Linked DNA regions of Macaca fascicularis. The protein of the gene in region 1 purifies or fractionates together with the protein of each later gene. This does not show direct contact. Links are inferred from orthologs where the notes say so. Each region holds a gene or a part of one and is shown in the gene's direction. Other genes may lie near its edges.

Region 1 (4,253 bases):
CCCAGAACCTAGGACAGCATGTGGCACAAGGGAGGCAGTTGATACTTTTGCATAAATTGAATGATACGTGGGAAAATACCTTCTATGACACTATTCTTGAATTAGTTACTTCATTTTATCACTGAAGACAAGCTTGCTTCACCAAGAATTTGAACCAATAAGGTAACCCGTAGTGTATTTACTAACCAGATTCTTTGAGCAGGGAGGCAGAATACAATAGAGAATTAGAGATGTTTGCATCCTGGCTGTAACCTCACTAGCTGTACTGCTTGGGATATGTTGCTTTGCTTCTGTCAATAAGATGACAAGAACGGTACCTACTCCTTAGTATTAAAAGATTAAGTGTGCTAACAGGGAGAGGGTCAAACGTTTGTTGTTTTATTACACAGCAGGACATCAGGTCTTACTTTTGTAGCTCCCCATCTCAAAGACAGGGATGGCAAATGTTTCATTCAGGAAAAAAAATCCAGGTTGAACAATGGGGCTGTTGGGGTGGGGCCAAGAACATTCTGCTCGAATTAACAGTATTAATGGGCCTGGTGAGGTGGCTCACGCCTGTAATCCCAGCACTTTGGGAGGCCGAGGCAGGTGGATCACCTGAGGTCATACATGGGTGAAAACCCGTCTCTACTAAAAAACCAAAAATTTGCTGGGCGTGGTAGCGGGCGCCTGTAATCCTAGCTACTTGGGAGGCTGAGGCAGGAGAATCGCTTGAACCCAGGAAGCAGAGGTTGCAGTGAGCCGAGACCACGCCATTGCACTCCAGCCTGGGCGACAGAGCGAAACTCTGTCTCAAAACAAAAAGAAAAACAGTATTAATGGAATGTAGTATAACCCTCAAGCCCTACTATTGACACTTGGGGCCGAATCCAGACCCCGTCTTCCCGCTCGGATTCAGAACACCTTCCTGACTCCCTGGCCCTAGGGCCGCAGCTACCTCGGACAGCATCCTTTTGGGAAAATACCGCCCACTAGCCCCACGACTGGGAAAGAGTCGGGCAACGCCCCTCCCCTCAGCTAGGGCCTGCCGTTTCCTAGTGCTTGCCCAGCCGCCCTCAGGTCACCTTCACTACCGGGCCAAGGACCCCGTGGGAACTCGCAGCCCTCGCCACACCGGTTCCTCGCGCATCCATGGAGTGCCTAGAGAGAAGACCTGCATGGCAAAAACCTAAACGAAGAGATGAGAGGCATGGAGAGGAGTACGACAACAGAAGAAAGATAACAGTGGGAGGAGACGTTAGTTTCCTTTATCCGTTTTGTTACTGGCGGTAGCAGGGAAGTTAGAAACGGTTTTAAAACAAATTTCAGACAGGCATTTTCCAAAGGCAAGCCTGGAGCGCACGGATCTGTACAACCGCGGAAGGCCCCGTTTCCGGTCCCTTGCGCCTGCGCTCTTGCAGCCAAGAAGGCGGGAGGCTGGAGTAGGGAGAAGCCTGCAACCGGAAGTGAAGGCAGATTTCCCTCCTTCGTCGCTGTTGCTGCCGCCATACGCGCTCTGCCTGCTTAGGTAAGCTTTGGCGTTCACTACAATCCGTTGCCATCTGCGCTTCTTCGCACCCATCCCGTCACATGGGTTCCTGATACCCTTTTCACAGGCGATCGTCTGGTCTCTGGGGCCTAGTTGGTTCCCCATTTCCGTAGCTTGCATCCCTTTCGAGAGCAAAGAGCTCTTGGGGGAAGGAAGGGAAGCTAAGGGGGGGCCCAATCCAAGATGGTGTCCTCGGCGCCATTGTGTTCGTTTTGCTCCCTTCTTCCAGTAGGTTCTTTTCATATTGGAGGCCTCAGCATCAATGAGAGGCGGCGCTAGGCGTCCCTTGGTCTTGGTATTTGCGGAGGGCGGGGCTCTTATCACCTTACTTGTCCTTTCTTGAGCCCTTTCTTGGCCCACGGTGGGACTGGGAGGAGGAGCCGGTTTTTGGGCCCAGTTGGATTTTTCTCACCTTGACTCGCCCAAGTTAATTTGGAGTGCCTTACAAGTGTTTACTACTGGTGTCATTGTATGTTTCTCCAAAAGGAGTCTCACCTTCGTAGCGCAACAGTGATGTCAGACCACTTGGTAAAGATCCTGTTAAAGCCTGGGCGGGGATTGCCTTTCTCTGTCAACTATTAACTTTGTTATTGTAGGGTGGAGACATGGATTTTTTTTTTTTTGGTGGCCGAGCCATTTGTCTTGCACCGCCCCTCCCCCCCATGCTAATTACACAAGGCTTTCTTAAACAACGGAAGAGAGGATACTGAGAAGTGGGAGGCTGAGAGCTATGGGAGGTGGACGGCGGCCATATGATGTTTTCTTTTCGAAAGATGAGCGCTTTGCGCAGTGATGACCCTCATCTATCACCCTTGACTGATGGCTGCTGAGTTAGGCATCCATAACGGTGGGATTATAATAGGGAAAGCACAGTCTTCCTTTGAGGACTTTCCAGGACTCTGCTTGTCATCTCCATTTTCCACTTTACTAAGTTATTAATCATATTTTATCTTTTATTATCTATTATATTTCCTCACTGTTATTTTCAGATTAAGAATTTATAAGTTGGTCTTCCCCTTCCAACTTTTCTGGTTTCCGCTACTGTGATTGCTAATCTTGTTGGGAACCTGTGTCCTAACCACTTTCGCTGGTGCTGCTTTTTCTGTTCTCTTGTATTTGCTTTTCGTTTTTATGTTGTGTATCTGTTTTTTTTTCCATGTAAAAGTTTCCTAGTTTAGGGAAAGTGGGAACTGGGAATGGAAAAGAGGTGGTGAAGGCTCTGCTCGTGACTAAGTCTTGCTTTTTTTTTTTTTCCCCTTCCCCAGCTCTTCTGTTAGAAATAGTATCTTTATTTTCCTTTGCTGTTCCTCAATCCCCTACTCTTCACCCCTTGTTTTCACCTGTTTTGCGAGAACCCATCCAGATCCCCCTTCCCGTCTTCCCCTGCCGGCCCAGTTATGGCAGAGAACGATGTGGACAATGAGCTCTTGGACTATGAAGATGATGAGGTGGAGACAGCAGCTGGGGGAGATGGGGCTGAGGCCCCTGCCAAGAAGGATGTCAAGGGCTCCTATGTCTCCATCCACAGCTCTGGCTTTCGTGACTTCCTGCTCAAGCCAGAGTTGCTCCGGGCCATTGTCGACTGTGGCTTTGAGCATCCGTCAGAAGGTAAATTTTCTCTTGGGCATGTAGTGCTCATTGGGCTCTTTAAGGGTACAATAAAAAGATGTGTTTGTTGTTGCTCAGGTGGTAAAAGTTTATACTTAAGGCTAGATCAGGGTCAGGTGCAGGGGCTCACGCCTGTAATCCCAGCGCTTTGGGAGGGCAAGGCAGGAGGGGTGGTCACTTGAGCTCGAGTGCAAGAGAAGCCTGGGCAAGATAGGGAGACTCCTGTCTCTACTAAACGAAGCAGGTGAAGGTTGAGGCTTCAGTGAGCCGTTATTGCACTACTGTACACCAGCCGGGGAGACAGGAAAAAAAAAATCAGGAGATAAGTATCGAAAACGATTTTGGATAGAGGAGGATTATACAGACTTGTTCTTTCTTTCATGATAGCACCAAAGTGCTAATTATCCAAAAGTAGCTTCTAGGTCTGCCATTCATTCTTGTGACTGACTTCTTTTGTCTGCTTATTTTTAATTTTGTCATTTGACTTGTAATTTTAAATTTCCAGAAAGGTCCTGATTGGACCTGTAGTCTCCCTCTGTTGGGCCAGGCCAACTGTGGCCTCTGGAAACCTCTATGACTGGTTTAGAGATGACTGGCTTCTGGGTCAGGTACCAAGTCCTTCATTTTGTCCCGGGTTGTTGTTATGTGACCCGAAGTATGGCAACCTAAGTAGGAGAAATGTCTTTAGCAGGTATTCAGATGTCATGAATTGTTACAGATTAAGAAAAATAAGGACAGAGCCAGGAGCATTGAAGGTGAGCGGTTGGTAGATGCAAGGGGGCTGTTAGTAGGACTGGGAAGGCCTAGATCTGGAGGAGGCCAAAGCTGGGATGAATTAGGAGAGTCTGATTTTGAGGTGAATATAATTGAGCAGAGAGAGGTAAAAGGGGTCTGGAAGTTGGCAAGAACCAGGTAAATACTAGATTTTGAGAATTGAGTGGTAAGAAATGGGCTTGGCATGATGAAAAAGGTTGTAGAGTTATCTGGAGACTGAAGTCTAATTTATCTTTCCTCCCCACTTTTAGTCCAGCATGAGTGCATCCCTCAGGCCATTCTGGGAATGGATGTCCTGTGCCAGGCCAAGTCGGGCATGGGAAAGACAGCAGTGTTTGTGTTG
Region 2 (2,603 bases), on another chromosome or scaffold:
ACCGCCACCATCTTCAGCCACCAACATCCCCAGCTCGGCCCCACCCATCACTTCAGTGCCCCGACCACCCACAGTAAGCCAGCATCTACCCTGCAGCTGACTTTTTAGAGCTTTGTTCTTGAGGTCGGACAGTGTTGGCTGAGACGGGCAACTGCCTTACAGTGTGGGGTGGGTCAGTTTGAAAGAGAAAGAGCCCTTTAAATGCAAGTGGGAACCTCTAGCTTAATCTGTTTGTGGAGGAGGGTTGGAACAAGGAGGGAGGTGAGAGGCAAATGTGAGAAACCAGTTAGCGTCAGAGAAGGGCTGCAGGGCTTATTGGGTCTGTGAGGACTGCTGGCCTGTCTCCAGGAGATTTAGTCGAGGTCTCAGCTCCTCTCCCTATTTTTTTTTTTTTTTTTTTTTTCTGAGACAGAGCTTCGCTCTTGTCGCCCAGGCTGGAGTGCAGTGGCACGATCTCGGCTCACCGCAACCTCCGTCTCCCGAGTTCAAGTGATTCTCCTGCCTCAGCCTCCCAAGTAGCTGGGATTACAGGCATGCGTCACCACGCCCAGCTAATTTTGTATTTTTAGTAGAGACAGGGTTTCTCCATGTTGATCAGACTGGTCTCGAACTCCTGACCTCCGGTGATTCGCCCACCTCAGCCTCCCAAACTGCTGAGATTGTAGGCATGAGCCACTGTGCCCAGCCAAGGTCTCAGCCTCTTTAGTGACTCTTTCAGTGATTGCCAAAGTAGCTGGTCGAATTTGACCTGCCAAGTCCCAAGCAGAGAGAATGTCATTCTCAGGCTCTCAGTAGCTCAGTTCCTGTTGGACGCCCAGTGTGAGGCCACAGTTTCTCAGTCCCAGGGGGCCAGGACGGAGCTGTCTAACCTTCATCCTCAGAGCTGCAGGCGGCCAGTTGCCAACTGTGTGTGCCCTTGGAGTCCAACTTTGGCTTCCTGTAACTTGTGGGTCTCTTTCCTGCACAGATGCCACCTCCAGTTCGTACTACAGTTGTCTCTGCAGTACCTGTCATGCCCCGGCCCCCAATGGCATCTGTGGTTCGGCTGCCCCCAGGCTCAGTGATCGCCCCCATGCCGCCCATCATCCACGCGCCCAGAATCAACGTGGTGCCCATGCCTCCCTCGGCCCCTCCTATCATGGCCCCCCGCCCACCCCCTATGATTGTGCCAACAGGTCAGTATCTCTTGCATCACTTTCCAGGCCATTAGGTCAGGGACCACAGGCCAAGTACTGTCAACAGAGCTGTGGCTGATGCTAGTGCGAGCTGTTCCAGCAGGGTGTCCAGCCCAGAGGAGAGGCCCTGGCTTCCTGTGTGAAAGATCCGCAACCCTAGAGCTGGGAGCTACCATTCCTGGTAGAAATGGGAGGCTAAAATGATGTAGCCGGTGTCTGCATTCAGGGATCAGGTCCCTAACAGGCTCAGAGGCCTGAGAGTTGCTTGTTGCCTGGCACTAGCTCCATCCGTCAGTCCTGCCCCTCCTGCAGTCCTCTGCTATCCAATCTGGGCAGCCTCCCAGGTCCCCCTGCTGGGGAACCTGCTGGCTGCCAGACTCATCAGGGAACAGCACTTCACACCTCTGACTAGAGGAAACCTTTGCAACCTCCTCTCTCAACTTCTCATCAGCCCTGAGTCCTGGGCCCATTCTGCCCTCTCATGGGGCTGCTTATTCTTATCTTTGCAGCCTTTGTGCCTGCTCCACCTGTGGCACCTGTCCCAGCTCCAGCCCCAATGCCCCCTGTTCATCCCCCACCTCCCATGGAAGATGAGCCTACCTCCAAAAAACTGAAGACAGAAGACAGCCTCATGCCAGAGGAGGAGTTCCTGCGCAGAAACAAGGTATGTGATCCCAGAATGCTGCTCAAGTTTCTAGCTGGAGGGTTCAGCCTCGCCCCTGTCGTACACTTCCCAGACTGACCCTATTTTACTCCCAGTCTTGGCTTCTGGGGCGTAGGTCAGCCGCTGGAGGCATCTAAGGGCTTCTGAGCACACCGTGAATGTGGGGTCAAAAATTAGAGGAGCAGAGAGCATTGGTGGTGATGGTGATGGTGGTGGTGGTGATGGTGGTGGTGGCAGAGGTGGTAACTGTGGTGGTCCCTCTGGTGTAGACTTAACAGGCCAACAGGGAGACCCAGCTGCACGGACAGCACAACTCAGGTGTGAGAGGGACCCTAGACCCCTGGAGGAAATTGTGTGTGGTGTTTTAAAATTTACTGTGGCCTTCCTCCCCAGCTCTAGCCCTTAGGAGGTCTGCCTGTTGGGTGGGATCCTGTTGGGGTCCTGCAATAAGGGGAGGTGGGGACCTTGTCACTGCCAGTCCCTAGAGAAGCTGTCAGGCTGCAGTGAGGATACAGAAACAGCCCCAGCTTCTGCTCCCCCAATGTCTTTGACCAAATTGTTTGTTTGTTTGTTTTTCCCCCGCAACCTCTGCCTCCCGGGTTCAAGTGATTCTTATAACTCAGCCTCCTGAGTAGCTGGGATTACAGGTGTGCATCACACACCCAGCTACTTTTTGTATTTTTAGTATTTTAGTAGAGAGGGGATTTTGCCACGTTGGCCAGGCTTGTCACCTGGCCATAAGTGATCCGCCATCTTGGCCTCCC
Region 3 (4,230 bases), on another chromosome or scaffold:
TTCCAGGCACCTGTGGTTTCCTGCAGGACCAGGAACAGGAAAGGGATCTGAACCCACCCGCAGAGCGGTCTCAGTAGTCTGAAAATACAGATGATGTCCCTATTCTCAAGACTATTGTGGGAGAACCATTGCAAAAAGTATATCGCGCTAGACCTGCCTCCCCGTTCAGATTAATGCAGCCCTGGGGCTTGACCCAGGGGTCCCCCCACATGCTCACCTCCCCCGTGGTGAACTGAGGCCCCCACACACCCTGCCTCCTGTGAGGGAGGGGTGAGCCCAGCAGTGATTGAGAGGCGGAAAGGGGAAGCGGGGGTGCTCTCCGTCTTCTGGGCCCCAGTCAGGATATGGCCGCTCTGGGTCCACCCCGACCCACTGGGTGGAAACAGGAAATAAGTGAGACCTGGTGTGCACTGGGTCTACGCCTGGCTCCACGGCTGATAAGGGCCATTGTGTGGCCGCTGGGGATGAGCCTGCCCTGGATAGATGTGCTTCCTGGAGGAAGGAAGGAGGGCTTGCTAGCCTTTCTGGGGCGGGGGAAGCTGTGGGGAGACAGAAGGGTGCCGAGGGGAAGGCCCCTGCCTATGGGGCTGTCAGTGCCAGCACACGCCCACGGGACTCGGCCCTTCCTATGCCAGCCTCTCCCTCTGGAAAGGTCTGTTCCCCTATCCACTTCCCTGTTCTGACTTCCTCTAAGGAATGGCTGGAGACCGGAGGGCTCAGTCTCAGGCCAGGAAAGTGTCAGCTGTGATTTAGCAGCAGTAAAAATAGAAAAGCAGGAACGTCAGGGGTGGGGGGTCACCTGGGGGTACTGTCGAAATGCAAGGATGAACAGAGCTAGAGGTTGCCACACCCAGGGAACTCAGGAACTCACCTCACAAGCTCTGAGGCTCGGAGGAGGGTAAGACAAGAGTCTTCTCCCAGTGGGACAACGCCCTCTGCCCAGCACGACCAGCCCCCAGCAGCCCTGGCCACTCAAACTCATGGTGGGGGCTCACCTGCTGTGGGGGACGGCCGGTTGAGGGGATGTGCAGGAAAGGCAGTGTGCACTGAGGGGTCCTCTTGGCCTAGGGGAGGGCATGCCTTCTGGTTTGGGGAGTGGGCCCTGTGCTTTAGCTGGTACCAGACAGTGGCAGGAGGAGGGGCCCAGCCATAGAGCTGCTGGGGGGTGGCGGGGGAAGGGGAAAGGCGTCCTACCCTTTGACCTGGAGCCCAGGGTCCCCCGTGGGTGGCTGCATGGGCTCCTCTGGTTACCTGGGACAACAGGCATTTCCTCCATCACCAGCCCCTCCTCTTCCTGCTCCAACCATCCGGGCCAAGAGGCCTCCCAATCAGACCTGGACGGCTCCAGCTGTGTCCTGAGGCGCTGGACCAGCCACATCCCCTGGGGCTGGAGTTGAAGCAGAACCAAGTGGCCATCCCGGCGTTAGGCCATAGGTTCCTGGCTCCTGGAACGGTCAGAGCCAGCCAGTGGGCAGCAGCTTTTGCTCACAGGCCCCAGTGCCCAGGGCGCTGGCTCTCCGCAGGGCGGAATGGCGCTGCAAGTGGAGCTGGTACCCACCGGGGAGATCATCCGCGTGGTTCATCCCCACAGGCCCTGCAAGCTTGTAAGCTGGGATGCTCGGGGCTGGGAGGAGGGTGGAGTATCTCCCCAGGGCCGGGCAGCCCCTCTCAAGCAGAGCCCTAGGGCAAGAGGTGAGCAGAGGGGGAGGGGTTCCAATCCTTGGATGGGGCCAGCACAGACTGAACAAGACGGGGTGAGTGGAAGAGTAAGGATGTAAGCGCCACCAGCAGCAGGATTTTTGGAAGTGGAGGTCTGGGCTTGACTCCTCCAGCTTCCTGAACCTCAGTGGGCAGAACTGTGAATACTGGGCACAAAAGGCAAGTGCCGGCTGCTGTGAGGTCGAAGGATGAGGGCATGGAAGCTCCTCTCCAGTCCGCCGGGCTGGGACCTCCCAAGACTCAGAACAGGAGGACGGTGTGGGAGGTGGGTGAAGGGACATGGGTGGGTGGAAACCGGGGAGCGCGGCCCTGACCCGGTCCGCAGGGAAGGGGCTGGAGATGCAAAGGGCCCGGAGGAGGGATAAAGTCAGGCGCCCCCGCGCCCCCAGCACCGCGGCGGGGAGCCGGGTCTTCGGCCGGAGGGGCGCGCGCGTGTTCGCTGTGGCCGGACGCGGCTGCCCCGGGAACCGGCCGAGGCGGGGGCCGCCCGCATCCAGGCTTCGCGGACGCGGCCGGGCTGGGGTGGGGCGGGGCCGGAGGGTGCGCGCCCTGCCCGGGATGACGACAGGCTGCGGCCCGGCCCCCGGCGGGCCCTGGGCGGGGAGAGTGCGCCCGGGCCGCGGATCCTCGAGCCCGCCACGCCGCCCAGCCCGGCCCCCGCCCGCGCCGGAAGAGCCAAGCCGGTGGGTACTCGGGGCGCGGGGACGGCGGCCGCGGGGGGCGGGTGTGGGGAGCGGGCGGCCGGGCCGGGAGCCGCAGTGCGGGAAGCGGGGGTCACGGCCGGGGATCGCTGGGGCCGAAGAGCGGCCGGGGGGACCCGTGCGGGGGTCCCAGGACCCGGAGGCGCCGGCGCAGCCTGGTGGAGACTTAGATTTACCTGCGGGGAGCGGGAGGCGGGGAAGAGCGGCCTGGGCTGCAGGACCCAGGACCCCGCGCGCCCTTCGGGCCCCGCCCGCAGCCCTGCTCTGCCTCTGGGTTCCGGAGAAGCCGCCTGAACCCGCCCCTTCCCGTTCTCCGCCCCTGGGGCCCAGCGCGCCCCGAGTGTGGCCGGAGAATGAGGCTGGCCACGCGGCCCTCGGTCCTCACGCTCCGGCCTCCCGCGGACACTCCTGCCTCTGAGATTCATTCATTCTTCCAGGGGGCCGGGAAGGGGTGACTGAGCCCCACCGTGTGCCTCGCTGGGTGTAGGGAGTGGGAGCCGTCTCCTGGGAGGGACTGACAGGGAAACAGCTGACTCCTGCGGGGTGCGATAAGGAGACGCGGCGTGTTCGGGAGAATCAGGCAGGGGTTCTGGAGGAGGTGACACCTGAGCCTAGTCTCCGTGAGGTGGGCAAGGAGGGTGCCCCGGGCTGGGGAAGCCGCAGGTGCAAGCACTGAAGCTTGGACTGGCTGGCGACGGTGCGAAGACTCCTCCTGGCTGCGTGTTGTGGGTGGGAGGGGAGGGGTGGGGACAGAGGGGACTGGAGCGGGCCACCTGGCACACCGGAATGCAGGAGCAGTGGGGTAAACTGAGGACAGCAGGGGTGTCTCGGGAGTTCATAGGCAGGGTCCCGGTAAGCAGCAGTGAGTGTGAATCATGGGCCTGGCACATGGAGGGTGCCCTAAACCTTCACTCTGTGAACATGAGGTGTTGCTTTGATTTGTATTGCCCGAGGGGAAATGGATTGGTAGGAGGAAGGCAAGGCGTCCAGTTAGGAGGCTGCTGTCTTGGCCCAAGTAAGGAGCAGTGATGGAGGTGAAGTTTTTGTTTTATGTTTTTGTTGTTGGTGTGTTTTGTTTTAAGAAGGAGTCTCGCTGTCACCCAGGATGGAATGCAGTGGTGCGATCTCAGCTCACTGCAACCTCTGCCTCCTGGGTTCAAGCTATTCTCCTGCCTCTGCCTCCCGAGTAGCTGGGATTACAGGCGCGTGCCACGACGCCCAGCTAATTTTTTTTTATTTTTAGCAGAGAAGGGGTTTCAACGTGTTAACCAGAATGGTCTCAATCTCTTGACCTCGTGATCCGCTCACCTAGGCCTACCAAAGTGCTGGGATTACAGGCATGAGCCACCTCGCCCGGCCTGGAGGTGAGGTTTTAGCAGGTTGTGACTACTTAGTGTGAGGAGTGGAGGGAGGAGAGCAGGCCTATTAATGCCAGGCTGTGATGACCAGCTTAAAGTGCCACCCTTCTCTCTACAAAGACATTGAACAGGGAGTACAGGTTAGGGGTCAAAGGCCCTGTTTGTTTATTTATTTATGTATTTATTGAGACAGAGTCTTGCTCTGTCACTCAGTCTGGAGTGCAGTGGGGCGATCTCAGCTCACTGCACCCTCTGCCTCCTAGGTTCAAGCGATTCTCTCCTGTCTCAGTGTCCTAAGTAGCTGGGATTACAAGCGTGCGCCACCACACCCTGCTAATTTTTGTATTTTTAGTTGAGACAGGGTTTCACCATGTTGGCCAGGCTGGTCTGGAACTCCTGACCTCAAGTGATCTGCCTGCCTTGGCCTCCCAAAGTGTTGGGATTACAGGTGT
Region 4 (2,789 bases), on another chromosome or scaffold:
TAGGAACATATGCATCTTTACACGGAAGAATCTATTGTAAGCCTCACTTCAATCAACTCTTTAAATCTAAGGGCAACTATGATGAAGGCTTTGGGCACAGACCACACAAGGATCTATGGGCAAGCAAAAATGAAAGCGAAGAGATTTTGGAGAGACCAGCCCAGCTTGCAAATGCAAGGGAGACCTCTCACAGCCCAGGGGTGGAAGATGCTCCTATTGCTAAGGTGGGTGTCCTCGCTGCAAGTATGGAAGCCAAGGCGGCCTCTCAGCAGGAGAAGGAAGACAAGCCAGCTGAAACCAAGAAGCTGAGGATCGCCTGGCCACCCCCCACTGAACTTGGAAGTTCAGGAAGTGCCTTGGAGGAAGGGATCAAAGTGTCAAAGCCCAAATGGCCTCCTGAAGATGAAATCAGCAAGCCCGAAGTTCCTGAGGATGTCGATCTGGATCTGAAGAAGCTAAGACGATCTTCTTCACTGAAGGAAAGAAGCCGCCCATTCACTGTAGCAGCTTCATTTCAAAGCACCTCTGTCAAGAGCCCAAAAACTTTGTCCCCACCTATCAGGAAAGGCTGGAGCATGTCAGAGCAGAGTGAAGAGTTTGTGGGCGGAATAGTTGCAGAAAGGAAACAAGTGGAAAATGCCAAGGCTTCTAAGAAGAATGGGAGTGTGGGAAAAACAACCTGGCAAAACAAGGAATCTAAAGGAGGAGAGACAGGGAAGAGAAGTAAGGAAGGTCATAGTCTGGAGTTGGAGAATGAGAATCTTGTAGAAAATGGTGCAAACTTTGATGAAGATGATAACAGCTTCCTCAAACAACAGTCTCCACAAGAACCCAAGTCTCCAAATTGGTCCAGTTTTGTAGACGACACCTTCGCTGAAGAATTCACTACTGAGAATCAGAAATCCCAGGATGTGGAACTCTGGGAGGGAGAAGTGGTCAAAGAGCTCTCTGTGGAGGAACAGATAAAGAGAAATCGGTATTATGATGAGGATGAGGATGAAGAGTGACAAATTGCAATGATGCTGGGCCTTAAATTCATGTTAGTGTTAGCGAGCCACTGCCCTTTGTCAAAGTGTGATGCACATAAGCAGGTATCCCAGCGTGAAATGTAATTTACTTGGAAGTAACTTTGGAAAAGAATTCCTTCTTAAAACCAAAAAACAAAACAAAACAAAACAAAAAAACATATTCTAAATGCTAGAGATAACTTTACTTAAATTCTTCATTTTAGCAGTGATGATATGCATAAGTGCTGTAAGGCTTAGAACTGGGGAAATATTCCACCTTATAATAGCCCAGATTCTACTATATTCCCAAAAGGCAATATTAAAGTAGATAGATGATCAGTAGTATATTGTTACACACTATTTTGGAATTAGAGAACATACAGAAGGAATTTAGGGGCCTAAACATTACGACTGAATGCACTTTAGTATAAAGGGCACAGTTTGTATATTTTTAAATGAATACCAATTTAATTTTTTTAGGATTTACCTGTTAAGAGTTTATTTAGTCTTTAAATTTTTTTAGATTAATTTTCTGGCTGTGATATATATAAGGAATTTACTACTTTATGTCCTACTCTCTAAACTATATCCTGAACTCGACGTCCTGAGGTATAACACAACGGAGCACTTTTTGAGGCAATTGAAAAACCAACCTACATTCTTCGGTGCTTGGAGAGATCTATCTCCCAAATAAGCTTTTGTATCTGCCAATGAATTTACTGTACTCCAAATGATTGCTTTCTTTTCTGATTATATCTGTGCTTCTCATAATTTACTGAAAGCTGCAATATTTTAGTAATACCTTTGGGATCACTGTCCCCCATGTTCCATGTTAGAGCAAAGTGAAGAGTTTAAAGGAGGAATAAGAAAGAACTGCTTTACACCATTTGAGCTCAGACCTCTAAGCCCTGTATTTCCCTTATGATGTCCTCTTTTTGAGATACTAATTTTTAAATACTTATTAGCTCTGAAATATATTGATTTTTATCACAGACAGTATTCCCAGGGTGAAATTAAACCAACTATAGGCCTTTTTCTTGGGATGATTTTCTAGTCTTAAGGTTTGAGGACATTATAAACTTGAGTACATTTGTTGTACACAATTGATATTCCAAATGTATGGATGGGAGGGAGAGGTGTTTTAAGCTGTAGGCTTTTCTTTGTACTGCATTTATTAGAGATTTAGCTTTAATATTTTTTAGAGATGTAAAACATTGTGCTTTCTTAGTCATGCTTAGTCTGAAACATTTTTATTCAATAAAGATTTTAATGAAAATTTGAACTTTTCAATGTTTCTCTTCCATTTTTTTTTTACATTATTACTGTCTCTCAGGATCTCAGTTTGGGAAGAAAAACATGGTACTACTTTTTTTAGTTGAAGAGACACGTCATCAATACATCTCACCACTAGATGGTAGTGTTGGGCTGATTTTGGATTTCAGTCCTCCCTAAAGGAAGACAAATTTTTCTGGAAAATTGCAGGCAACTTGGCAAGAGAATTAATGTGTGCACTCAAAATGAGCTATTTTACCAATTTGAAATCCAGTGGTGGTTTTTATTGTTTATAGCATTCAACATTGAATAATTCACCTTACAATTATGCCTAGCATGCTGAATGGATTTCCAAATGTCTCTGCTGAAAATGGACTTGTTTTTTACTTTAGGCAGATGCTTTTTTTTTTTTTGAGACACAGTCTTGCTCCGTCGCCCAGGCTGGAGTACAGTGGCATGATCTTGGCTCACTGCAACCTCCACCTCCCCAGTTCAAGTGATTCTCCTGCC
Region 5 (4,244 bases), on another chromosome or scaffold:
CACTTAACTTGAACTGGGGATTATCAGTAGTACCGTACATAGTCCATTAATTTCAAGTCAAATCATTTCACAAATGTTAATATTTCACGTATACATGGCTGCAAGGTATGACAGAATGCTTCATAAAAGCCATTGAAAATAAACTTCAAAAGTAAAATGCATCAATCAGTTAAATCCCATTAGCCTATGGGAGAAATTTCAATATGTATACCTCCAAATTTCAAATTAATAATGGGGCAATATTATTGTGCCACCTAGAGTACCAAACAGTGGGTATAAACCATCTCCTTAGTCAGATGGAACACTGGCTGGACACTGCAGATTATCTGGGGTTTAAGACGTTAACTTCTATCACGAATCTAAATTCTGACTTCCCTGTCTAAAACTTCGGGAACATCACATCTTTTATTTAAAGCGAAAAAGTAAACTTCTAACATACAAAATAACGGATTTCTTTTCAAGAGCGATAGTCCTTTTTTTTTTTTTTTTTTTTTTAACAAAATCACTGCCCTTGATTTTTCATGAACTTTAAGTTTCAGAATGATTTGGTCAAGAGTATTTCTACAGGAATAGGAAGAGAATCAAGTGGGCCTATAATCAAAGACCTAGCTGGGTCTCACCCTCATGGTTAACTACTGAGACTTCATAGCCGATGACCAGGTCCTAAAGTGGACAGAACAAGCCTTACTGGAGGTCCGTCTTTGTGGTAGGTACAGAAAACTTGGAAATGCAATTCTGTGGTTTATTTAGGGTTATTAAGAGCATGAGAATAGCCCTGCAAAGGCTGGTAAACTAGGGTTTGCAGTATGGAGTAGTAAGCAAAGCCTCTACTTCCCAGGCCCTGCACCCGGGGTGTGGAACAGACAAAAGAACGGCTCTGCCCTTGCCCTTCTCGAACTTAAAATCCAATTCGCAAAGCAGGACTTACACATATTAAATCAAATACAGCATTATGCTGAAAAGAGCCCCTGCGTGTAACAGTTGCCAATGTGTGTTATACCAGTCAAAACGATTTGAAGGAGTTTTAAACGAAAAGCTGGAGAAACATACAAGAAGGCAGATCTAAGATGGAAGAAAAGGCGTATTCGGGTTGAAATGCCAAGTTGAGGACTGAAGAAAGCATTTGGACAAAGCAGCCTCCAGGCTGGGAAGGCGAAAAGCCAAACGAGTATAGCCACCAAAGACCCAGAAAGGCCAATAGATTGTGCAGTGAGTCGGTTTAACTGAAAGGCGGTTTCCTTTTCCTCCATTTGCTCAGTCCCAATTGGAAGCGCACTGCGCGGCCTGCGCCGCGCTCTCCGCCCGGGTTCGGCGTGGGGGCGGGGAGGTAAGTACGGTAATGGGCGGGGCCGAGCGCGGGCGCGCTCCGGCTTTCCTCCTGCGCAGCGCTCCCGTCAGCGCAGGGGGCGGGGCGCCTATATTACGTGCGCGGCGCCGCCCCTGCGAGAGGACGTTGCGTGCTCGCTCGCGCCAGGCGAGTCTCCGCGTCTCCCTCGCGAACTCGGTGAAAGGAATTGGCGCCGTTCGACACCAGGCGGATCCGCTCTGCAGCACGACCCCATCTCCAGCCGCAGCCGCAGCCGCCGCCCGGGCCGAGGAGCAGCCGCAGCAGCCGCCACCAGTGGCCGAGTGAGCGGAGCCGAGTTTGAGGCAGCGCCTAGCGGTGAATCGGGGCCCTCACCATGAGTTCCTCGCCTGTTAATGTAAAAAAGCTGAAGGTGTCGGAGCTGAAAGAGGAGCTCAAGAAGCGACGCCTTTCTGACAAGGGTCTCAAGGCCGAGCTCATGGAGCGACTCCAGGCCGCGCTGGACGACGAGGAGGCCGGGGGCCGCCCCGCCATGGAGCCCGGGAACGGCAGCCTAGACCTGGGCGGGGATTCCGCCGGGCGCTCGGGAGCAGGCCTCGAGCAGGAGGCCGCGGTCGGCGGCGATGAAGAGGAGGAGGAAGAGGAAGAGGAGGAGGAAGGAATCTCCGCCCTGGACGGCGACCAGATGGAGCTAGGAGAGGAGAACGGGGCCGCGGGGGCGGCCGACTCGGGCCCGATGGAGGAGGAGGAGGCCGCCTCGGAAGACGAGAACGGCGACGATCAGGGTTTCCAGGAAGGGGAAGATGAGCTCGGGGACGAAGAGGAAGGCGCGGGCGACGAGAACGGGCACGGGGAGCAGCAGCCTCAACCGCCGGCGACGCAGCAGCAACAGACCCAACAGCAGCGCGGGGCCGCCAAGGAGGCCGCGGGGAAGAGCAGCGGCCCCACCTCGCTGTTCGCGGTGACGGTGGCGCCGCCCGGGGCGAGGCAGGGCCAGCAGCAGGCGGGAGGTAAGAAGAAGGCGGAAGGCGGCGGAGGCGGCGGTCGCCCCGGGGCTCCGGCGGCGGGTGAGTGCTGCGTTGTACGTTGCGCGCGGCGGGAGGCCCGCGCGGGGTGGGGACCGTGCCCCAGGCCTGCCGGAGCCCCGCAGGGGGAGGGAGCCCCGGGCGGGCGGGGGCCGCGGGGAGGGTGGCGGGTGGGGGAGGGGGCGCGGGGAATCCCAGATTAGCCGAGAGGCCTCGGGCTCGGGGCGTGTGTGCGTGTGTTCGTGTGTGTGTGTGTGTGTGTGACGGCGGTGGCAGCGCCTCCATTATGTGGCTCGAGAGCCGGGGGGAGCTGCAGCTGCCGCTGGAGGGGGAGGAGCCGCGGGCGGGCGGCGGGAGGGAGCCCGGTCGGCCCGCGGTGGCGCCGTCGCGCTGCGTGCGCGCGGTGCGGGCACATGTCTCGGGGGGAGGGGAGAGGCCCCAGGTCCCGGGGCGGGCGCGCTTTGGCGGCTCCTCGCCGCTGTATTGTGCAAGGAGCGCAGGGGCTCGGCGTGACGTCACTTCCTGCGGGAGGAGCCGGGCGGGGCGGGGCGGGGGGCGGAAGATCAGTACAATGCGGCCGCGGGGAGCGCGGGCCCGCGGGGGAGGGGAGCGCCGCCGCGCCGGGCTCGGCCCCTCCCCCTCCTGCGCCCTGGTCGCGATACACGTGGGCTTCGGGCCTGGGCCGCGCAGTTTTTCTTTGGGTTTCTCGAATCATCGAGGAGACTGGCAAAATTCGTAACGTCTTTAGACTGCGTCACTAGCGCTAATCCAATTCGTAGCTGATTGTTCTTCGAATTCACATTTGAGTCCTCGGTTAAAACCTCAGTTAAAAAGCAGGATAAAGTCGAGCTGCTTTGCTTCTCGGAACGGAAAAGCGCTTTTTTGTTGTTGTTTAGCGGCCTGGCCTCTTATGGGGGTCTTGTGTGTTTTAGGGGACGGCAAAACAGAACAGAAAGGCGGAGATAAAAAGAGGGGTGTTAAAAGACCACGAGAAGATCATGGCCGTGGATATTTTGAGTACATTGAAGAGAACAAGTATAGCAGGTATAGGATGCTCACCTAGTTTTACTTGTCATCCCTTATTCGTTCGTTGATCGGAAAGCTGTATCAGGAGACAATTCTGTCTTTCAGAGCCAAATCTCCTCAGCCACCTGTTGAAGAAGAAGATGAACACTTCGATGACACAGTGGTTTGTCTTGATACTTGTAAGTGAAGCTGTTTCTCCCCAATTATGAAATGCGGTGATGGTTTTTATTTTTTTTTTTTGCTTCCAAAATGTTAGAAAACTTAATGCTTAAGTGCAGCAAAAGTTGGGTTAGTTTTTTTTAAAAGCAGGAAGAGATAATGGTTTATATTCAGAACCTAGTAGTTTAATATTTAGCACGGCATCAGTTGTATCAAATGGATTATTTTACAGGCTCTAGGAGTTTCATATTTTTATGACTTGAAAGTTCTCGTTCTTAGGAAATGTAAAATTAATGCCAGTTTCTGACTAGCTAACGGAAACTTGTAACACTACCTATAATTTAGCCTTACAGGCTTCTACAATAAAGTAATTCATTTTTTTGTGGAATTATATTAAGTGAGCTATTTGGGCTAGTTAAATATTTACTAATGACTTCTCCCATTAGCACACAAGTATATTCCCTATTCTAAAAGATTGTAATATTATTTTTTCAATAACTGCTCTTTTGTTCTCAATTCCAGTTCAGTAGCTGCTGCTTTAAACATAAGTTGATTTCTTCCAAAGACCTGAGGCAGCAGCAGTGGGCTATCACTGGGCCACTAGCTTTCTTCAGCAGCGAATGGTATCAATGGCAGTGCAGCACTGTAAATACTGCTACTTCACCCAGTTGGGTTGCAATTGAGTATGAGAAAGTATTGCAAACCTCTAAGTGGGCTTTGACTGTCAG
Region 6 (4,098 bases), on another chromosome or scaffold:
AGTGGAAGGCTTATCAAAAGGGTCCTTGGTGAGGCCTGAGGATGGAGGCTCCAGAGCCTGAGCTAGCGAACCCTGGGGACCTGGGTGATCTCGTTTTGTGAGACAGCCTGGCCCCTCCCCAGAGCCAGCTGCAAAATGGACCTGGCCAGAGAGGAAAGTAGAGATGAATGTGGTGCTGGCCTTTGCAGCCAGCAAGGCTGTGGGGTCTTTGCTGTTCCTGCCCCCCACTACCTTCTTACCCCCTACTACCTTCTTTCTGGCTGAAACCAGGATAGAGACCCAACATTGGCTGTCCAGCCCCCAGCCCTGCTCCCCCTTTCAGGCCCCTCTGGGAACCACAGAAATCTGGGACCTAGTGTCCTGGCAACGTAATGAATGCACACACAGCTCTGGTATCTGTTTTAAATTATCCATTAAAATAAGTACAGTTCTGGGGAAAAAAAATTAAGTTGACTGGGTGGGGTAAGCAGTAGAAAGGGACTGAAGGGGGAAGGAACCCAAGCAGTGCTTGGGTCCAAAGGAAGGGGACAGGAGATGGAAGGGGGAAGTGCCTGGCTCCTATTCTTGGCCTTCTTTAGGGGACTGTGGCTTGTTGCTTGGGTCTAAAAACGAATGCTTGGTTTTGAAGGGAGATATATTGGGGCAAAAGAAAGCAAAAAAGGGACCCCCAAACTCCTTGATCCCTGGCCCCAAATTGGGGGCATAAAGGAACTCAGGTTCCAGAACTTTGTTCCCCCCAGGGAACCCAGGCATTCCTTCTCCACCCCACTCCTGGCACACTGAGATGCAGCTCTGAATGGGCTGCCCACGTGTGGAGGGGGGGTTGGGGTGACTCACTATTACTACTGGGAGGACAGGGGGAGCCAGTGGTGGAAGAAGGGTGAGTCACACTGATGGGCACCAGCCTCAGCCCTCCCCCCACTTTCCTGGCTCCCAGCCCTGCCTGCCTGACCCTCTCCCTTGCTTTGCACCCACTTCCCTCTCTTTCTCCCCCACCCTTTTGCCCACCCACTCTCCCTCCTTGGCTCTGCCCTCTAGCCCAGAAGGTCTGAGGCAATGGGGGCAAGCTTGGAGCCGGCAGTACTGAGCAGCCAAGAGAGGGGAAGCTTAAGCCTCACGCAGTTAGGGGTGCGCTGGAGAGGGTGGGGCTCGACTCCGCCACACCCCAACGGTCTTTCCCCCTCCTCACCACTCCTGCCCCCACCCCCATGGATCTGGGACTGCCCCTTTAAGAGCAGTGGCCACTCCTCCCTTCAGACGAGGACCTATTAGAGCCTTTGCCCCGGCGTCGGTGACTCAGTGTTCGCGGGAGCGCAGCACCTACACCAGCCAACCCAGATCCCGAGGTCCAACAGCGCTCGGCCCAGATCCCCACGCCTGCCAGTAGCAAGCCGAGAGCCAGCCGGCCGGCGCACTCCGACTCCGAGCAGTCTCCGTCCTTCTGCCCGAGCCCCGAGCCCTTTCCGGGACCCCTGCCCCGCGGGCAGCGCTGCCAACCTGCCGGCCATGGAGACCCCGTCCCAGCGGCGCGCCACCCGCAGCGGGGCGCAGGCCAGTTCCACTCCGCTGTCGCCCACCCGCATCACCCGGCTGCAGGAGAAGGAGGACCTGCAGGAGCTCAATGATCGCTTGGCGGTCTACATCGACCGTGTTCGCTCGCTGGAAACGGAGAACGCAGGGCTGCGCCTTCGCATCACCGAGTCTGAAGAGGTGGTCAGCCGCGAGGTGTCCGGCATCAAGGCCGCCTACGAGGCCGAGCTCGGGGATGCCCGCAAGACCCTCGACTCAGTGGCCAAGGAGCGTGCCCGCCTGCAGCTGGAGCTGAGCAAAGTGCGTGAGGAGTTTAAGGAGCTGAAAGCGCGGTGAGTTCGCCCAGGTGGCTGCGTGCCTGGCGGGGAGTGGAGAGGGCGGCTGGCCGGCGCCCCTGGCCGACTGCAGGAAGGGAGTGAGAGGGCCTGGAGGCCGATAACTTTGCCATAGTCTCCTCCCTTCCCGGAACTGCCCCCAGCGAGTGACTGGCAGTGTCAAGGGGAATTGTCAAGACAGGACAGAGAGGGAAGAGGTGGTCTCTGGGAGAGGGCGGGGGGGATATAAGGAATGGTGGGGGTATCAGGGACAAGTTAGGGCTGGGGCCTGCCCGAATTCGGTCAGATTGGGATTTGCCAGCTATTTGGAGCCTGCGGGAGGGGCTTAAGCAAAACAGAACTAGCCCTGCCAGCTCGAAGAACTCTGGGCACCCAGGACACATATGAGTAGCAGAAAGGGTCCTGTTAGAACTTTGTTGGCGGGCTTGGCACTGGTGCCAGCTTTGCCCAAGCTGGCTCTGAACACATGATGCCCACTAAGACATGACTCCCAAGCTGGCATCTGTCCAGCGTGTTGGAGAGAGGTGAGAAAGGCAGGGCAATCCCCCTTTTCCCTCCCGAGGGCTTGGCGGTGGCCCCCTCGGCATGACCTTTTCCGGGGTTCTAAGGGTTGGGAAGCTGTCCCTCACTCTGCCACTCTGCGTGTCTGGGACCTTCCTTGGGCTCTGACAGGCCCACCAAAAGAGCTCCGGGAGATGGGAGATCGGGAGATTGGCTCCCCCGCAGCTCCCACAGCCCTTGGCCTGCTTGGCCCAGGAATGCAAGGGAGGGAGGGAGGCAGAGGGCAGAGGCTCCCAGCTCAGGAAGTTGTGTTATGCCCAGGTCTGGCCGCACTCCTCCCTTGGCCCACTGCCTCGTGTCTTCGAGGGTTGGGGGCACTGTCCTTCCCTCCTTGGAGTGAGCCACTTTCATTTTCCCAGCCAGGCCAGGCAGTCTTTGCTCAGGCCCATCCTCTTAGCTGCTGACGTTTTGATCTTTGTCTTATTAAAGTGCTGGAATACAGTGACATTTTTGAAATCCAGCCGTTGGAAGCTTCAGGCCACTCCTACTTTACCCACCCCTGCCCCACCCTACCCCACCCTGCTCAACTCCACCTTCTTCTTTCCTAAAAAAGCCTTGGGAGCTTGGAAGTATAGGCCTTCCTCTTCCAGTCCCCCCAAAATTTGGTTCCCTTCTTCCTGCCTTCCCTTTCTCTATGCAGACCCAGGCTAAGAGCACTAACAGGGCTTGGAGAGCCATAAAGGGCTGTTGGCTTTGAGTTCTTCTCTCCCTTTTATCAACTACTCCAAACTTCTGCTCTTCCCAAAACCCTTTGCTAGGTGTGGTGGGTGTGGCAGATCCATCGCCCTTTTTTTTTTTTGAAAATGGAGTTTCGCTTTTGTTGCCCAGGCTAGAGTGCAATGGCACAATCTCGGCTCACCGCAACCTCTGCCTCCCAGGTTTAAGCGATTCTCCTGCCTCAGCCTCCCAAGTAGCTGAGATTACAGGCATGTGCCACCATGCCGGGCTAATTTTGTATTTTTAGTAGAGAAGGGGTTTCTTCATGTTGGTCATGCTAGTCTTGAACTCCCAACCTCAGGTGATCCACCTACCTTGGCCTCCCAAAGTCCTAGGATTACAGGCGCGAGCCACCACGCCGGGCCCATAGCCCTTCTTTCTGAAGAGTCAGTAGAAGTTGTGTGTAGGAAAACAGGCTCAACCTTTTTTTCTTTCTTTCTTTTTTTTTTTTTTTTGAGACAGGGTCTCACTCTGTTACCCAGACTGGAATGAAGTGGTGCGATCTTGGCTCACCGCAACCACCACCTCCCAGGCTCAAGAGATTCTCCTGCCTCAGCCTCCCGAGTAGCTGGGATTACAGGCGTGAGCCACCACACCCAGCTAATTTTTTTTTTTTTTTTTTTTTTGTATTTTTAGTAGAGACAGGGTTTCACCATGTTGACTAGACTGGTCTCAAACTCCTGCCTTCAAATGATCCACCCACCTCAGCCTCCCAGAGTGCTGGGATTACAGGCATGAGCCACCATGCCCGGCCATCAACCTTTATTTTGTTTTTTTGAGACGGAGTCTCGCTTTGTTGTCCAGGCTGGAGTACAGTAGTGTGATCTCGGCTCACTGCAACCTCTGCCTCCTGGGTTCAAGCCATGCTTCTGCCTCAGCCTCCCAAGTAGCTGGGACAACAGGTGCCGGCCACCACACCCAGCTAAATTTTGTATTTTTAGTAGAGACGGTGTTT
Region 7 (3,961 bases), on another chromosome or scaffold:
TTGATACCTCCATGCTCTTTGAAGACATGATGCTCCGGCTTTGAAGCGCTGCATTTCTACACTGCTAACCTACAGGAACCTATGTTGAGGTGGTCCCACGGAAATGCACGACTAACAGTTCATCTCTTTCCTCCAGGAACCTTCAGGTTTTACCAAGCATCCTTACCCTAATTATCTAAATCTCTGAGACATAAATTATTTGATGTGGCTAAAAATCCTCCTGCTAGAATTTGAGTCCAATCCTTGTACGTTCTGATACTCGAATTCTTTAACGAAACTGATTACTGAGCTAGGCTGACACATGTCCGCCCGCCAAAATGTCCGCAGAAACGTTAAGAGAAGCTGTCATAAGGCCAGCTTGAGACACATCATAAATGGCCTTCGCTGTCCTTTGAGCTAATTATCTAACACCCGAAGAGAGTGCCGGTTCTAGTTAGAATCCGCGCGTCAGGTTCTCCAACCGTCAGAAGGGCGTGTGTGAGGGCAGGGAGGATTTTAAACCCCGTTTCAGGCCCCCTCCCTAGGCTGTAGGAAACCACCCACTCTGAAGCCCGGCGGGGGAGGAGTGCTGCAGCCAGCTGCCGAGGGAGCGCTCTGCGGCGAGGCCGTTTCCCTGAGTCACGGAGAGGGCGGGAGGCTGCCCCCGTCTGCCCCCGCCACGTCCTCCTGTAAGGGGCTCAGTCCAAACAGGCAGGGGTCGCAGGGGAAGGAAGCGGCACCCGTCATGCCTCAAGGTGGCCCAACAGCCACTTCACTCCCAGGAGACGCCGCATTTCCTTAAAACGCGCTCTCCATTCTGGCAGCAATCAGCCGACCCTTCCCCATCAGTATCACGTGCACCTGGAAGTACGTGGGTGGGACCTAAAGCACCCACGGAAGTGACGTCGGTCGCTCCGAGTCGCATGATGTGGCAAAATGCAAAAAAAAAAAAAAAAAAAAGTGGGGGTAGAAAAAGAAGATTGGCGAAAGTGATGAGTCTAAAAAAGTAGTCCCTCCGGTTCCTCTGTTGCCCCCCGTGTGGCGTCAGAAGAGAGGCTCCGGGCGCACAGCGCCCGGAATTCCTGCACCCGCCGCACGCACCGCTCCGTGGAGGGGTACATAAGGCGGAGGGGGTGAGGCGACTGGGCGGAGTTCTGTCGCCGGGATCCTTCCGCTGGGCTCAGCCGTTTCCGGAGTCTGCGCTGCGCCCGGTTCCGCCATTGCGGCTCTCCTGGCCCGTGGAGCCTCCGCCCCCGACCCGAGCTCTTTCGTCTGCGTGCCAGTTTCCTGCGTCCCCGGAGAGGATCCTGCTGAGCCCAGCCTCCCCCCTCCCCTTCTCCTCCTCTCCCTCGGAGAGCCCGGGCAGCCACTGCCCCGCAGCCCCAGTGACAGGAGGAGACCATTCCCCCCGACAGCGCCATGGCCCAGATTCTGCCAATTCGTTTTCAGGAGCATCTCCAGGTGCGGCCGGGCCCGGGCTGGTGAGGGCTGTGGAGAAGGTGGTAGGAATAGTGGAAGAAGCTGGAGTCTGGGCCCCGAGCAGGATCGGAGCTGGAGGGGTGGGGGGGTTGTCGGTCTTTGGGGTAGGTGGAGGAGGGGGCACTATCTTAGAAAGCTTAAACTGTTAAATGATGTGGGGCTTGGATGAAAGGACAGGAGTTGGGGTGCAAAGGGCTGCAAAGACCAGGCCTGGATCCAAAGGCCTCTCGATCTTGCTTCCTGGATGGCCAGAACTGCGCGTACAAACTCTCTCCTCCCCATTTTGTTCAGTTCATTCATTTGGGTAGGGGAGTGGGAGGGGGGATTCTCTCTTGTTTCTACCAGAGCAAGGATTCTTATCCCCTGGGCCAGTGCGGGGCTGTCACCTTCCATTGCTCTCCTCTTTCCCTCTTCGTGTCTGCACCCAGGAGTTGTGGGGCGGGTGGGTTGGGGAGGAGCAACCTTTTTTTTTTCCTCCCTCTGCGGCTCTCAACTGAGAAAGGCACCTTCTCCGGTGGTGGGGGTTGGGGGTGGTGGTGAGGCGGTGGCTTGTCTCTTGCCTTCCTTGAGGCAGTAGGGACAGAAGGTCACTGAAAGAACGAAACGAGGGTAGAATGGGAGAACGCATTTCTCAGAACGATGTCAATCTCAGAGTGTGTGGGGTCGAGCTCCCTAAGGAAACTCGCCTCCCCTTCCCACTTTTTTTATTTCTTTGGGGATGTTGTGGCTCTTAACCCCTCTTTGGTTCTAGAAGGTAGGAAAGAGTGATACAGAGGTTATCTTCTAGTCTTCTCGAGTAGTAGCAGGTAGTTTTGAATATCTTCCTCAGGATCGCATGGAATTGAACAGAGCCCTGGGGACAGAGCACAGCTGCTCTGAGACCTGCGGGGCTATTTGGTCTGTAACTGGCTTCCCTTTAGTAAGTTCTAGAGTTCTTTCCCATGGTTCCTTATCCTGGAGGCAACATATTGTTGTCTCATCTGGCAGCATGCCAATCGCTGGCCTAGGCAGGTGACCATTGGAAGGCTTCACTGAATTAAACCTCTTCAGAGCTTTTGATTTTCCTGTGTCACCAATCCTGATTTTTACTGTAGCTGAAACAATTTATTCCTATTAATTTGCTTTCTTCCCAAATATCCCCTTAAAGAAACCTGCCTCAGCTCTATCGTCTGAAGGGCTAATTCCATAATGACAGAGAATGCAGTGGTTTGACATGACACTAATATCAGTGACTTATTAGACACTTTACCATTGAAGACCATTTTTATTTACATTCCCCCATTGGTATAACATACATAAAAGAGTTTTGTTAATAAAAGGTTTTAATATTCAGGCTATAAGTAACATAATTTCATATTTCTTTGCAGGTATTACCATGTTTGCACTAGCAAGGACTTATTTTCCTTTAAGGCTTGAAATGTAAAGAATAATAAATCTTTACCCATAAAATGAGTCAAATAATGCACTTTCTTCAGTCATCTATAATTTTCAAATAACTCATCTGAAGTAATGGAATATACCTTGGCATATCTTGGCATATATATATAAATATATTTATGCCAATAATAAAAACACTTTTACAGAAGGTTAAAAACGTTAAATAACAAAGTGGATTTTTTTTTAATCAATCCAAGTTTAATTGCTTTAGTTATTTTTGTTAAAGTGGGGTGGCAAATGAATGTGGAGAGTTGAGAAAGTGCTGTTCTTAAGTGTGAGGGGAAAACGCGGGCTTGTTTTCATACTAAGCTGCATCTGAAATATCTTTCTGCAGACAAATGTTTATAAACCACACAAAGAATCAAGTACAGCTGCTGTTTATTTTCCATGGCAGATGTATAGCTCACTACTAAATCTTGTGGTGGTTCGAGTAATAGCTTTTCATTTCTTTTAAAGAGGAGACAAGAATTGTTAAATGATGCCAGAGATTGGAACCCAACCTTGTCACTTATTGAAGACAAATTTAATACATGTCTGTTTTGTAACTGGCTCAGTTTCAGCAGATACTTGAATGAAGCCATTTTCTTCTCAAATAATTTGAAGATTTTGAATATAAAGCAGATTTGCAAATTGAAAATTCAGCCCTCTGTGTTTTGGATTGCTATGTCATGCCTAAAGTTAAGCTTGCTTAGCTAATATGACTGTGTGCTCCAGCTGATTAATTGCAGAGCGCAAATAACTACAGCCTCTTCCATGATAATATATCTCCTGACTTCATTATCTCCTACCTTTTGAAAAATTAATAAGGTTTTTGTTTTTTGAAGAGACAGGGTTTTTGCTGGAGGTCAGTGGCACTGTCACAGGTCACTGCAGCCTTGACCTACTGGGCTCAAGCCATCCTCCCACCTCAGCATCCTGAGTAGTTGGGACTACGGCCATGAGCCACCACACCTGGCTAATTTTTGTATTTTTTGTAGAGATGGGGCTTCACTATGTTGCCCAGGCTAGTCTCGAATTCCTGGGCTCAAGCAATCCTTTGCCTTGGCCTCCCAAAGTGCTGGGATAA

Evidence for each region.
Region 2: the proteins of DDX39B (region 1) and SF3A1 purify together in Homo sapiens (affinity purification with mass spectrometry; 3 studies listed by BioGRID and IntAct, with this or other methods). This does not show direct contact. The link is inferred for Macaca fascicularis from reciprocal best matches to the Homo sapiens genes DDX39B and SF3A1.
Region 3: the proteins of DDX39B (region 1) and MYO1C purify together in Homo sapiens (affinity purification with mass spectrometry; 5 studies listed by BioGRID and IntAct, with this or other methods). This does not show direct contact. The link is inferred for Macaca fascicularis from reciprocal best matches to the Homo sapiens genes DDX39B and MYO1C.
Region 4: the proteins of DDX39B (region 1) and LIMA1 purify together in Homo sapiens (affinity purification with mass spectrometry, with the first as the bait; 3 studies listed by BioGRID). This does not show direct contact. The link is inferred for Macaca fascicularis from reciprocal best matches to the Homo sapiens genes DDX39B and LIMA1.
Region 5: the proteins of DDX39B (region 1) and HNRNPU purify together in Homo sapiens (affinity purification with mass spectrometry, with the first as the bait; 3 studies listed by BioGRID). This does not show direct contact. The link is inferred for Macaca fascicularis from reciprocal best matches to the Homo sapiens genes DDX39B and HNRNPU.
Region 6: the proteins of DDX39B (region 1) and LMNA purify together in Homo sapiens (affinity purification with mass spectrometry, with the first as the bait; 4 studies listed by BioGRID). This does not show direct contact. The link is inferred for Macaca fascicularis from reciprocal best matches to the Homo sapiens genes DDX39B and LMNA.
Region 7: the proteins of DDX39B (region 1) and CLTC purify together in Homo sapiens (affinity purification with mass spectrometry, with the first as the bait; 3 studies listed by BioGRID). This does not show direct contact. The link is inferred for Macaca fascicularis from reciprocal best matches to the Homo sapiens genes DDX39B and CLTC.

What each region holds. Positions count from the first base shown.
Region 1 is NC_088378.1:140,188,762-140,193,014, forward strand, and holds the start of DDX39B (spliceosome RNA helicase DDX39B), read left to right. Parts: upstream 1-1,453; 5' UTR 1,454-1,507; exon of another isoform or gene 1,508-2,056; intron 2,057-2,275; exon of another isoform or gene 2,276-2,353; intron 2,354-2,793; 5' UTR 2,794-2,925; coding exon 2,926-3,136; intron 3,137-4,161; coding exon 4,162-4,253. UniProt on the Homo sapiens protein: Involved in nuclear export of spliced and unspliced mRNA. Component of the TREX complex which is thought to couple mRNA transcription, processing and nuclear export, and specifically associates with spliced mRNA and not with unspliced pre-mRNA.
Region 2 is NC_088384.1:21,329,009-21,331,611, forward strand, and holds part of SF3A1 (splicing factor 3A subunit 1), read left to right. Parts: coding exon 1-73; intron 74-967; coding exon 968-1,175; intron 1,176-1,684; coding exon 1,685-1,839; intron 1,840-2,603. UniProt on the Homo sapiens protein: Component of the 17S U2 SnRNP complex of the spliceosome, a large ribonucleoprotein complex that removes introns from transcribed pre-mRNAs.
Region 3 is NC_088390.1:1,603,257-1,607,486, reverse strand, and holds the start of MYO1C (unconventional myosin-Ic), read left to right. Parts: upstream 1-1,430; 5' UTR 1,431-1,529; coding exon 1,530-1,604; intron 1,605-1,742; exon of another isoform or gene 1,743-1,915; coding exon of another isoform or gene 1,916-1,984; intron 1,985-2,320; exon of another isoform or gene 2,321-2,402; intron 2,403-2,748; exon of another isoform or gene 2,749-3,045; intron 3,046-4,230.
Region 4 is NC_088385.1:57,007,861-57,010,649, reverse strand, and holds the end of LIMA1 (LIM domain and actin-binding protein 1), read left to right. Parts: coding exon 1-1,007; 3' UTR 1,008-2,289; downstream 2,290-2,789. UniProt on the Homo sapiens protein: Actin-binding protein involved in actin cytoskeleton regulation and dynamics. Increases the number and size of actin stress fibers and inhibits membrane ruffling. Inhibits actin filament depolymerization.
Region 5 is NC_088375.1:4,313,654-4,317,897, forward strand, and holds the start of HNRNPU (heterogeneous nuclear ribonucleoprotein U), read left to right. Parts: upstream 1-1,444; 5' UTR 1,445-1,682; coding exon 1,683-2,373; intron 2,374-3,263; coding exon 3,264-3,375; intron 3,376-3,462; coding exon 3,463-3,536; intron 3,537-4,244. UniProt on the Homo sapiens protein: DNA- and RNA-binding protein involved in several cellular processes such as nuclear chromatin organization, telomere-length regulation, transcription, mRNA alternative splicing and stability, Xist-mediated transcriptional silencing and mitotic cell progression.
Region 6 is NC_088375.1:104,963,401-104,967,498, reverse strand, and holds the start of LMNA (lamin), read left to right. Parts: upstream 1-1,298; 5' UTR 1,299-1,506; coding exon 1,507-1,862; intron 1,863-4,098.
Region 7 is NC_088390.1:47,088,113-47,092,073, reverse strand, and holds the start of CLTC (clathrin heavy chain 1), read left to right. Parts: upstream 1-1,161; 5' UTR 1,162-1,398; coding exon 1,399-1,440; intron 1,441-3,961. UniProt on the Homo sapiens protein: Clathrin is the major protein of the polyhedral coat of coated pits and vesicles. Two different adapter protein complexes link the clathrin lattice either to the plasma membrane or to the trans-Golgi network.